Linked DNA regions of Caenorhabditis elegans. The protein of the gene in region 2 interacts with the protein of the main gene of each other region in a pairwise test. Each region holds a gene or a part of one and is shown on either strand. Other genes may lie near its edges.

Region 1 (4,304 bases), on a different chromosome or scaffold from region 2:
GTAAAGTTCTCGGGACAAGTTGCGGTATTTATGAGAGGAAATTGGAAACTAATTAGGACAGAGATGAGTAGTTTCAGATGAATAGCTGATTTTATTGCCATTTCTATAGTTTATTTCTTTTTTAGATGAACTTTTTCCCCGATGAATTCTTCCCAATTTCCATTCAATAACATTACATGAGTTTACGAGTTCATGTCAAATGGTGAATAAGTTGAGTTACATGAGTTTACAGGAAATGTTTGACATTCCAATACGAAGACCAGTTCAATAAATCATTCTCGCAACGACCCCTGAAACGATGACATGATTGAACAATAATTCGTTAACAAGTCGACTCAATTGCAATAATACACGGCTGCGGTCTCCTTCGACAATTGTCATCTTGCTAAACAATTGAACAAGACGAATGAAAAGAAGGTTGAGGTTTTGACAAACTGTACAGGACGCGTCTCTAACCTCCTTTCTCAAATTGGGTGGCATCATTGTTCGAAAAAGGTGTCGCTATAATTGACGAATTATTCGACTCCTAGGCAGACGATCTTCAACTGTAAAGGTGTTACGGAAAATCTACTCAGCTATGAAAGTTGGAAGGCCTCCACTTTGACGAGTAACGTAGAGTGTTTGAGGTGGAGAGGAAGCGGGACGACTTTTTGCTTCCCCCCAAAATTGTCTATTAATGAGAAGGCTAATTGACGCACTTGGTGTGAGGAAATCGCTACCGTAATTTTGTCATTTGGAATGATTCGCAATGTTCTGTTACTTGAGCGAAAACACTCCAGCGTCCGTTGACTGTATTGCATTTTATTATTTTATAATAACCAAGACATTGAAAGTGAAACATTACAGAAGAAATTAAGAGATCGGATTTTGAGAATGAGGGCAAAATTAAAGTGGCTCAGCAGGAAAAATAGAAGAGAAAAACAATAGAAATTGAGAATTTGACATTTTGCGTGATGAAAACCGGATAAATACTCTAAGCGAAAAAAAAACAATCTTCAAGGTGGAAAGGTATTATTCATCCTCATCTGATTCTTTTTTAGAAACAGATGCATTTTTTACAGAATCAGGAGATACTGATGGTGATTCTTTTGGGGAACTGATATCATCTTTTACGTTTTGCGATGCTAGAAATTGCAGTAGAGAATTTTGAGAGTTGCTAGCAGGAATCATTGAAGAAGTTGGGACGACTAATGAATTGAATACAGGGCGATTATTAGAAGCTCCAAACATTGAAGTGTTCTGTGATAAGTAGTTTGCCCAATATGGATTTGTTCTTAGAAGTTGTTGAACGGCGGCCATATTTCCAGCATCGTGAAGAAGATCCATACCAACAGAGGCTTGTCGTTTCCATTTGGTTCTGAAAGTACCGTGAACATTTTTTTTCATTTCAAGCACTTTTTTTCTCAAATTTTTTGCGCCTCCCAGGGTAGCAGCTCCAATCTCAAAAATTGGATAATGACAGTGGAGCCGTTTCCCGTGGGGTGGTTGAAAGGAGTGGGGGAGGGCGCGGAAAAAAGATGACACTACTAAATAAAATTGGTGGGCGCACGCAAAGAAATTGAGGAGGGGTGAGAGCTTTGATTAAGATAAATTTCGATGGGGGTGAAGCTTCTCGCTAATGCACTACAATTAACACAAAGTGGCGTGTTTAGACTCAATTCTCGCCCAACTGCTGGCGCAAAGAGCCACACGTTGTTGTTTTTCGAGAAAAGAAAAAAAGTTTGCCTAATTAAGGAATATAGCCGACCAACCTTCTATTTTGATACCATGTCTTTACTTGAGTATCTGTTAGCCCCATTCGATGAGCCAGCTCCATCCTATCTTGAACAGACAAGTACTTCTGCTTCTCAAAGGTGTTTTCTAGCTCTTGAAGTTGTTTGTCGGTGAAGATAGTTCTCGCCTTCCGAGCCTTTTTTGATCCCACGCATGTCGGACTCTCGTTCACAGATCTTTCGGTATTCGGGCTCCCAATTCTAGGGGATGATGGCGATTCCGAGGAATTAATGGAGGTAGGAGATGGATCTACAATAACAAATAAATAAAGAAAACTGTTTGTATAGGTAAGAGGAGAACAAAGGATCATAATTGGTTGACCTATTACTATTACAGATTACCGTCCATGTGACTACTGGAGCGTTAATCCGTTAAATATCATTTTTCAGGTTAGTTGTACATTCAACATTCTCATGGAAGTCTATGTAGATTAAAGTGTTAGAGATGGTTGAACGAACATACAATAAATGCAATAACTTTAGGAAAATGGTGGCAAAATGGATTACCTGGTTCGTTGGTTGAGTGTGAAGTTGGATCAAGCAGATCAGAAATGCGAAAAGAGCTGTTTAAGTTTATCTTCGCGCCACCGGAAGAACTCTGAGCAGCAAGTTGGTTGGTGGGGTCTAGAAAGAATGCAGGAATCAGAAACTGACGGAGATCCAACATTGACATTGTTATGATAACCTTATCAGATGATGTAACAATACAATAAGTTTTGTAATAGTCAAATTGAATGACTTTTAGACAGTAGTTTAGTGTGAATGAGTGGGTTGGAAGGGTCCTGTTGCCTGCAGTCACTAAACGTCGCAAACTCGTTGATTGGTCTAGTCACGCCCATGCGAAGTGGAAGGCGGGGCGTGTCGAAGAAGGGAATAGAATGGATGACACCACGCGGTTTTGTATTGAGAAGTGTGGTCCGTGCAATCCACCTTTTTGAAGCCAATCAAGTGTGATAATGGGGGACGATGAAGCTGAAAACGAGCAGCTTCGAGGAAAAGACGAAAAGCAAAAGTTTCGGAAATGAGGCATTCAGGTGAGAAGAAAACAATTCAGACAAATCCCGAAACTGCCGAATGCAAACTATGCACACTAGGCTTTTCCTAAAAGCAGAGTAACAACGCAATGCAACATGATCCAAACGAGCAATGATTTTCAGATAAAAAAGCACTGAATAGAATTCAATATAACTAGCTATGCTAGTGTAAAACCGCAGAAAAAATCAAAAATAGCATGCTGCTTCGGCGTGCAAAAACTAGCGACTAAAGCTAAAAATGAGTTTCAGCCCGAATGATGTTTCAGCTTTCTGACTAAAAGATGATGAGGTCTAATAGGTACATTGTGTGTGTTTTAATATTTGATACATCACTGATTTGAAATCAGCACAATGGAAAACACTATCTGAAAAGTTCAGTAACAGTGACTACTTTTGATAGTTCATTTTGCATTTAGATTTTCCTGGCTGTGATCTTAAACTTGCTTCACACGTACAGTTCAGATTAACTGGTAACATCTTTTGGTACTTGTGTAGTATACCTAACACAAAAACATTTTCCAGTACATTTTCCATGCATTTCTTTTGAAACATAATAATTTATTCAAACCATGAAATAGATTTGCATTTTTAGACTTTGAAATACTTTAACCTTAAGCCTATTATCGGCAAAAAGGGGTTTAATATTTTTGGACCAGGTGTACTAAACTGGTACCTAATTTTTTTAATCCCAGATCCGCAAAAATCAGATTCTCAAAACACTAAAAATTATAATAAAATGCTAAGTAAGTAAATTTTTTATTTATTTTGAGCTTTATAGGAACTAAAAAAATGTAAACGTTTTCCGAGCTTTTAATTTCTTGAGCATTTATACTTAATTAGAGTTTAAATTTGTATTTTTCGGTAGCCGAGTTTGCAATAGTCTGGGTTCCTCTTTTATAGACTATTATGAGCAAAAAAACTTTGTTTTACATATTGAAATATTTTAAAAATTATAAACTAATATTTATAGTTGTAAAAAATTTTCAGACCCTTTATGTTTGCTTGAAAATTTGTTCAAAAAGTTTTCAATAAAATATCATGTTGAAACATCGTTATCATTCTGAAAAATATATTTGCAAAGTGAACAATGTCAACAATCGTTATATTTTTCACAACCGATTCATGAACAACGCGAATCTATTGTTTGTTATCAACGTCTAACAACTTACTAATACTTAATTTCCTGCCGTATTACCTCTCTAGTTTTCCGGCTGTTTATGTTTGGCGGCCACCTCCGTAAAACGTTAACTTAAACGTACAAATCTAATTTTATGCTGTCCCATCGTTTTCCCTCTTTCCCACTAACTAATAAGCAATATTTCCGGTCACAAACGGTCGATGAGCAACAATAATATCTGCATTCTCTTTGACGGACAGCTGTAGGCCCATTACCGGGGTTTTATGAGGAAAAGAGGAACCGCTATATGGTGAACTGTTATTAAGGGTACCGAACACAGTCATCTGGAAAATTTACTAATCGAATACACTACGGGTTTTC
Region 2 (7,294 bases):
CCAATTGCAACTCCTGAGAAAATCCAAGATTTTTGACTTGGATCTTCCAGCCAATGCAAATCCGTTCTGTTATTACTATGAAAGTCCACAACTACATCTTCCATACAAATAACTGTGAAGTTGAAGCTTAAGGAATTCATTTGACCAACTGTCATACACAAAAGCCTGAATCAAAACTAATTTATGTTGTACGAAAAATATTTAAACCTACGAAAGTATCATAATCAAGTATCGAGTTTTGTGAAAGAACACAAAACTAGATATGTGCCGAACATCTGGGAATCCTGATTCAATAGTTATCACTGTCATAGTTGTATTACAACAAGAATGTTCAGTTCCTTTGACAAGTAGAGTTTATGGTTGTTCATTTGCATAATCACATATAACATCATTGATCAAAACATCAAACTTGTCCTTTTTGAAAATGTGGCGGAGGCAAGAGTAGAAATACTATCAAAAATCATGTGAAACAATATTTTTGAATTATTATTTATCATTCCCAGAATTTCGCTTAATCCGTGTTTTCTAAAAATAGTTTATGTACCTATTCAATATAATTAGGCTATTCAATATAATTTTATAGCTATTCAATATAATTTTTACTTTTTCCTATTTTTTCTCTTATTTTCACGTTCAAATAAACGTATTAAATAAATAGTAGATGGGAACAGTATTGCACACGGCCAACCAATCTCGAAAGCATCAAGCCACAAGTAGCCAGTTGGTGAATCTGGCGAAGCTTGAAATAGCTGGCGAAGACTAGTTTTTTGTTTTTCTTTTTTGCCTTTCTACATCCAAAACCTAGTTCGTAACAAAAATATGTATTTGAGCATTGACAAATTATTTACCAGATTTTAGAATAATATGAAGAATGAACCAAAAATGAGAACATGGAAAAGAGAAATAAATCAAAATTAGTCCTGGAAGACGCATGGATCGGTCACTTTGACCTTGAAAACTTCGAAAATCTTAGCCAATTCCATGATTTTCAGGCGATCCAAATGAATTCTCTGAAACATTAAATCGTCAGTTTGGTGGACAATGGCCACGAAATTTCACCTGTAAACTATTCACAACAGTCATCAGTTTGATAAGTCTACCAGCATAGTTTGACATTTTGTACTCTTTCAAATAATATTGATGAAGATCGTCGGCTATTTTCCCAATGAATTTCTCTCCCGCATCAAGAATATCACCTTGAAGAGTTTTTCCTGAAATTTTAGAATTATTGGGAGAGCTCATTGAAAGGGGAAGTGCCCACCAGCAATATGCCATATGATTTGACACAACATGTAACTAATTTCAATTGTGGATGGATCAAGCTCCATAAGTGGACGAGCGACTTCTTCATACATTTGTGAGCACACATGTTGGAACATTTTTCGGAGCTCGAGGGAAGTGTAGTCGGTTATCTTGGAAAGATCAATTTCAACATCTTCCATTCGAATTGCAGTCGAATTTGAGGTGATGAGAATCTACAAAAATTTGATATTGGTGTGGAGATTTCGTATAAATGCTGTCATATTAGTCCAACAGATTTTTGAAAGGTTTCAGACAAAGTTTTGGCAGTTGCCACATTTTTAAAAAATTTCATTTTGTAAAAACAAAATTATTAGTTTTTGAGAAACCTCAAGTTACACAAAAATTTAAACCCACAAACTACTCATGTAAACTGCGAATGCTCCAAAAAAAAAAAAGAAGTTTTTTTCTGATTTTTTTTCTCCAGAAGTTATATTTTTTAAACAAAAATTGTATAAATAGCAAAGAAGTTAAATTGTTTCAATAGAACATTTTTTCGAGCTTTCCAAAATTTTTCAACATTTCATGGCATAACTGACTTCCTCAATATTTTCTAAAATTTTCAATTAAAAGTTTGATAAAATATTTTTATAAAGTTAACATTTTTGAAGAGGATTTTTTTAAAGATGTAATGACTACTGGAAAATATCAAAAATAGAAATTATGATTAAAGCCTTTTATTCTCCTTTTATGGTCCATATAAACTATTTTCTGCAAAACAAAAGTGTTTTATTTTGAAATTATATAAATATTGGTAGATTTAATACGATATGGTCGAACCTACTAATTTTTACGTTATTTTCTTGAAATCATATTTTTTCTAAACCTGATGGTTTTTTCCAATTGAAGTCGTTGTTAATGATTGGAAAAATATTTCCAAATCATATCAAAAGTTCAACAGTAATGCCGAATCTCATTTATTTGTTTTTCTTCGTTTCTTTCGTAGATATTTTATGATTTCAAGTGAGATCACGCATTACTTTCTAAGAAAAAAACTTTTCAAGAAAAAAAAAAGAAATTACTCACTTTCTCCTCTATCGCCCTTTTTCCAAAAATTTCCAGTGACATTGTCAGCTTCTCGAATCTCTGTGACACTTGCCAAACTAATTTGAAAATCGAAAACTTTTCTTCCAAACTCAATTCTCGAAATTCTTCAGAATGCATCATAAATTCTGCTTGTTTGGTCATTTCCATTCCCCACATATCAACCAATTGGTCCAGTCGTATAGTGTTTATGATCTGGTTATATTTGAACTACACTATAGTCTTCAATATGTATTATGTACTTACTCGGAAGTTTTGCATCTTTTTATTCTTCCGATGACGTCTCAAAGCCCAATCCATTTTTCCTAAAGTGCTGGTCGACTGGTAAACCGGATCATCAACTGGTATTTTGAACTGTAAACGTGGAATTTTACGGAATAAATATACGGGTCACAGCACAAACCTCCATAAAAGTCTTGTGTATTTTATTCAAAGTTCTTGACAAATCATAAAGTGGTGGAGCATCTAAACAAGACTTTTTGGATCCAGGACTCCAATCTGAATATGCATCAACGTCAGTTGCATCGTCTTCTTCACTTTGACGTTTTCTATCAGTTGATGAAATCATATCACGATTCCATTGAACATCTGAAACATAATTGTTGTGGTTGTAAAGAAACATGATCCTCAAAAAATATAACTCGTGAATTCAGGGAGAACATTTTGTGAAACTATTGAAATTTTACAACATTATTAACTGCTAATAAATGTTTGGAATTATGTATATTCGAGACTTCTGTTAAATATGATCTTGTGAAATGCCAATTCAATTAAGAAAATATTTTAGGTACCACTAGAAACAAAATAAGTATAATTTGTAGAATGATTTTATTTTCTAGTATTTTTGTCCAAAACTTACAAATGCTAAACACAAAGTTCTACAGTAGTTAGTGGGGTCAGGCTAATTTTGATTTGAATGTATATACCTAGAAAGGAAATGGTGAAACTATTTTTTTGTACTCACTATCTGCGGTCATCCCGAGTTGTAGGCACTTTTTGTACCTGCACAATCTGCACAGATACCTCTCTGACTTGTCAATTCGACATCCTTGACTTGCTTTTCTGCACGAGTATTTTTTGTCCATGACAACAGAGCGTCTGAAAACTGTGTTATTTTTTGAGTGTCCAAAACATGTACCCTACCTGAAAAACGCAGCACAAGCCCTGCAAGACAAAACTCCAAAGTGGACACCGTGTGCCGTGTGTGCGCAAACTCGGCATTCGGAATCAGATGAAGATGACGACGGCTGCAACATTTCTCATCAAATGATATTCACTTTTGTGACTTCAATTGTGTTGTGTGCCCATTTCTCTGTGTTTCATGACCTGAGAGAGTGGCGAAGAGGAAGATGCGCAGGGGTGAAAGAGATTTAGTGTGTGCGTTTGGGAACAGAAATTGTGTGTTCGGCCATGGAGTTTGTGATCATTTACGTGCTTCGATGTAGTTAAAGAAATAAGACTAGAGACAAGCAATCATATTTTAAAGTAGATCTTACTTTAGAATATTAAAAATCTCCAATTTCAAATCTAAATGTGTTGTAGCGGCCATAGATTTTATAGAGTTTGTGACAGATCTAGATTTTTGATGTTTATCGGTAAATCACAATTGTAAGATAAACTTGGATACGGTATTTTGATAATAGTGCTGCTTTTCGTAATGGAAACATAGTTTTTGTGACTCATAAGACGCTAGATCCTTATGGGATTAATTCATTGATAAGAAATCACATAACCTATGACAACTAGAATGTGTTTAGTTCACGAAATCGAAAAAAAACTAGGTGATCCTAGATTTTATCAATTCCAACCTATTGTCAACTTGATAAATAAAAGTGTATCGTCATAATGAAATATCAAATGATGAAACATTTTGTAACAATTCCTACCTGATCTACACTCATTCGGGATTGCTCTATAAAAGCCGGTGGAGACATTCCGATTTCCATTGGTGATTGTGTTTCCTGAAAATTTGGAATTGACTAAAAGTAGAAAGTAGGTTGCAAGAAACAAATATATTGAATTCAAATGTGGTAGAAACTGATCAATTCGCTGAAATTTTATAAAGTAAGCTACCCATCAGCGTGGTCTAAAAATTATCAAATTGGTAGAGAAATTTGCAAAGTTTGGGCAAGACTTTATTTGGATCAAGGCTACGTTTACGTTAAATGAGACTCTTGCCAAAATCTTACAAAAATTGAAAGCGGTACAAGAGAAGTTTGGCAAGAATTGGGCAAAAATTGGGCTCAGACTTGCCCAAGTCTTGCCCAACGTTTGCCCGAGCTTTGCCATTATAAATTTTCAACCGAAACCTGAGCGAAAGCTCGCCGAGTTGGCCAGAAATCCCGAGCTTAATTTTATGTACAATTATATCAAGGGAATTTTCTGTATAAAAATACATGTATCCAATTCAAAAGTCAGAAATTTTTTTGCAAATGTATGTAGTAAATTAAAAACAAACTACAATTTATCCGTACAATTTACAGACTACACAAAAGCCTTAAAAGCCTAAAAAGCCAAAAGAATTAACCTTTCTTTGAATTGACGAATCATCAATGAGCTCAGGAACTTCCATGAGACTAGGCTTCTGACCTCTTGAAACCGAAACAATCAACTGACTGCCTAGAGGGCATGAACCACCGATAAAATGTAGGAATGGGCGGGAATTTTGATTTTTTGCCAACCTTTCCGTATGGAATAATGAATAGAATCTTATGAGGTCTTGAACGATTGAAATGATATATCAAATCACAGAATATGTCACGGTTTCTTTAAACACATTGGTTTTATTTTTGTTATCAGATTGTGTCTGTGCGAGTTGGAGTGAGAAAACGGTGAAAGCAAAATTGAGAACAAATATTGACAGGGCTTGGGTACCTATCGAGACACTATGGAGAAATTCATAACGAATTCGTTTAGGAAGTGGATATGTGTGCCTTCTATGCGGATACAAAACCACACCTTATTTTCTATGCGAATACTTGGACTTTCAAATGGGAAACGACAAGAGGTGTTAGAAGGCAGAAAATATTGGAATATCATATACAACGGTTTTAGACTATTCATGTGTCGTTCTGACTGATTTCATCTTTTCTGTTTTATTCCTATAGTGTCTCTCTCTCTCTCTCTCTTATTGAAAACTTCCGTAGAATTGATTTTTGTACTTCTGACTACAAACCACGAACATAGCAGTTTTGACACATTGCCTACAAGCCACACGTAGTGAGGCACCACTGAATGAGGAAACGCGATATGGGGGAACAAGCAACGTTGGGAAAATTTTAGCTGGAATTTTTTTCCGTCCCTTTAGCTGAAGCTTTAGTGTGATTTGGTAAGAAAAACTCTATTTTAATCTGGAACATAAAAAATTAATTTCAATTTAATTACATTACTAACCGTTATTTCCAATTTTTCAGATTAGAATAGAGATTTTCTCACCTAACTATACTAATTATTATTACACTCATAGGGAAAAAAAATGCTCGGAAACCTGTTTCCACAGTTCATGTGTCTCCAAGTTGCGTCTCCTCGATTCGTATCTCGTAAATCAGTGGTGAGTCCATGACGCGTTTTGCGTCAAGGCGGTTTCTGGCGTGTTTTGCGGGAGCTGGCGCATTTCTCGTCTTTTTTGTGAACACTTTTTGGAACGCAGCTTCTTATTTCTTATTGGAATTGCTTTATTTTCTTTTAATTTTTCTCAATTATTGTTTCAAAAATTACTTTATTTTTTATTTTCAGGTATAATGTCGTCCAAATCGTCTGCACCACTGGAACCCACGTGGACCGAGACGGTAAATTAAATTAAAACTAATATGTTTCAAATATCGATAATGTTTAGCTTGCCAAAGGACTCACACCTCGCTCTGAATGGCCAGACAAAGACGAATTATTGGATGTTGTTTACTGGGGAAAACAGGTGAGATATTAAAAAATTTAAAACTGCAAAAGAAATAAAAAAAACTTCCAATAATTTATATAATTTCACTCAAAACACTTCAATTATGCGTTGAAGTGTTTACAAAATGGGTTGTTTCTTGGTTGAATATTTCAAAAACAAATTTTTCACATAAATTTCGGAAGTTTCTTCGAATAAGTTGGATTTCTTTTAAGAAAGGTGGAAATAGAGTAACCAATTTCAGAAATTGAGAATATCATTCAAAAAATCGATAATTCAAAAAGCTTTGATAAAATTATTCTTTTAAAAAATCTAACAATCAGTTAGCATTTTTCATTGTTTCTTTCCAGGTTATCTCCCTGCTGCTGGGCTTCATCTTCGGAATTACCTCACTAACCGGAGTCCTCGTTTTAGTCTGCTACGTTGGAACGTCTTCCGTCATTGCTCACCACTTTGTTACAAAATTCCAACGAGTGGACGAAGAAGAAGTCGGAGGATTCTGGGAATTGTCGAAAGAAGGATTCGGTGCTGCTTTCGCTACCTTCATGGTTACGTGGATCACAACCTACACGTACTCGACACAAGTGTAGAGACCTTGGAAATATATATTAGTATTTATTGAATTTTGTTTAGTTTACCTCGACAGTTTTGAGCCAAAAGCAATCAAAGTTACAACTTAAACATGTTCGTGTGCCGTTCTTCCCTTGTTATTCCAAATATTTAATTTTAAAATTATTTTATTTTTGTTCTGTGATGTTTTTTTGCGAATTGTTTATCTTTAAATAGTTAAATATCAAACCCCAATTGCCTTCCGTTCAAATATATGAATCACTTTGAATTGAATCTCTAGAATTAATTGTTGTACTGACTGAAATGGACGCTACCAAATTATGAACTTATCTCGAGTTGATTTATAGTAAAACTATGAAACAAGTAATTTTTAGATGCAACTATTAATCATCTTATCTATATTGTTGTCACTATGTGATACGGAGAATTTGACGGTTTTATTAGTTGGATCTAGATACAAACTTACTGAACAAAGAGTAATGGAAAGGA

Evidence for each region.
Region 1: the proteins of nhr-142 (region 2) and ceh-31 interact in a two-hybrid assay, tested with the Caenorhabditis elegans proteins (one large-scale study listed by BioGRID).

Annotation. Positions count from the first base shown.
Region 1 is NC_003284.9:3,067,863-3,072,166, forward strand, and holds ceh-31 (Homeobox protein ceh-31), read right to left. Parts: upstream 2,561-4,304; 5' UTR 2,446-2,560; coding exon 2,280-2,445; intron 2,023-2,279; coding exon 1,752-2,022; intron 1,695-1,751; exon of another isoform or gene 1,412-1,694; intron 1,358-1,411; coding exon 1,012-1,357; 3' UTR 786-1,011; downstream 1-785.
Region 2 is NC_003283.11:5,785,152-5,792,445, forward strand, and holds nhr-142 (Nuclear Hormone Receptor family), read right to left. Parts: upstream 5,403-7,294; 5' UTR 4,916-5,402; coding exon 4,871-4,915; exon of another isoform or gene 4,795-4,870; intron 4,305-4,794; coding exon 4,230-4,304; intron 3,591-4,229; coding exon 3,487-3,590; intron 3,442-3,486; coding exon 3,308-3,441; intron 2,932-3,307; coding exon 2,747-2,931; intron 2,698-2,746; coding exon 2,590-2,697; intron 2,539-2,589; coding exon 2,326-2,538; intron 1,476-2,325; coding exon 1,262-1,475; intron 1,212-1,261; coding exon 1,060-1,211; intron 1,011-1,059; coding exon 915-1,010; 3' UTR 806-914; downstream 1-805. Other genes in the region: F44E7.7 (Major facilitator superfamily (MFS) profile domain-containing protein), read right to left, coding at 1-165, 212-309; F44E7.9 (Rab5-interacting protein), read left to right, coding at 6,084-6,131, 6,179-6,256, 6,586-6,825; ZC250.2 (N-acetylgalactosaminide beta-1,3-galactosyltransferase), read left to right, coding at 7,180-7,294.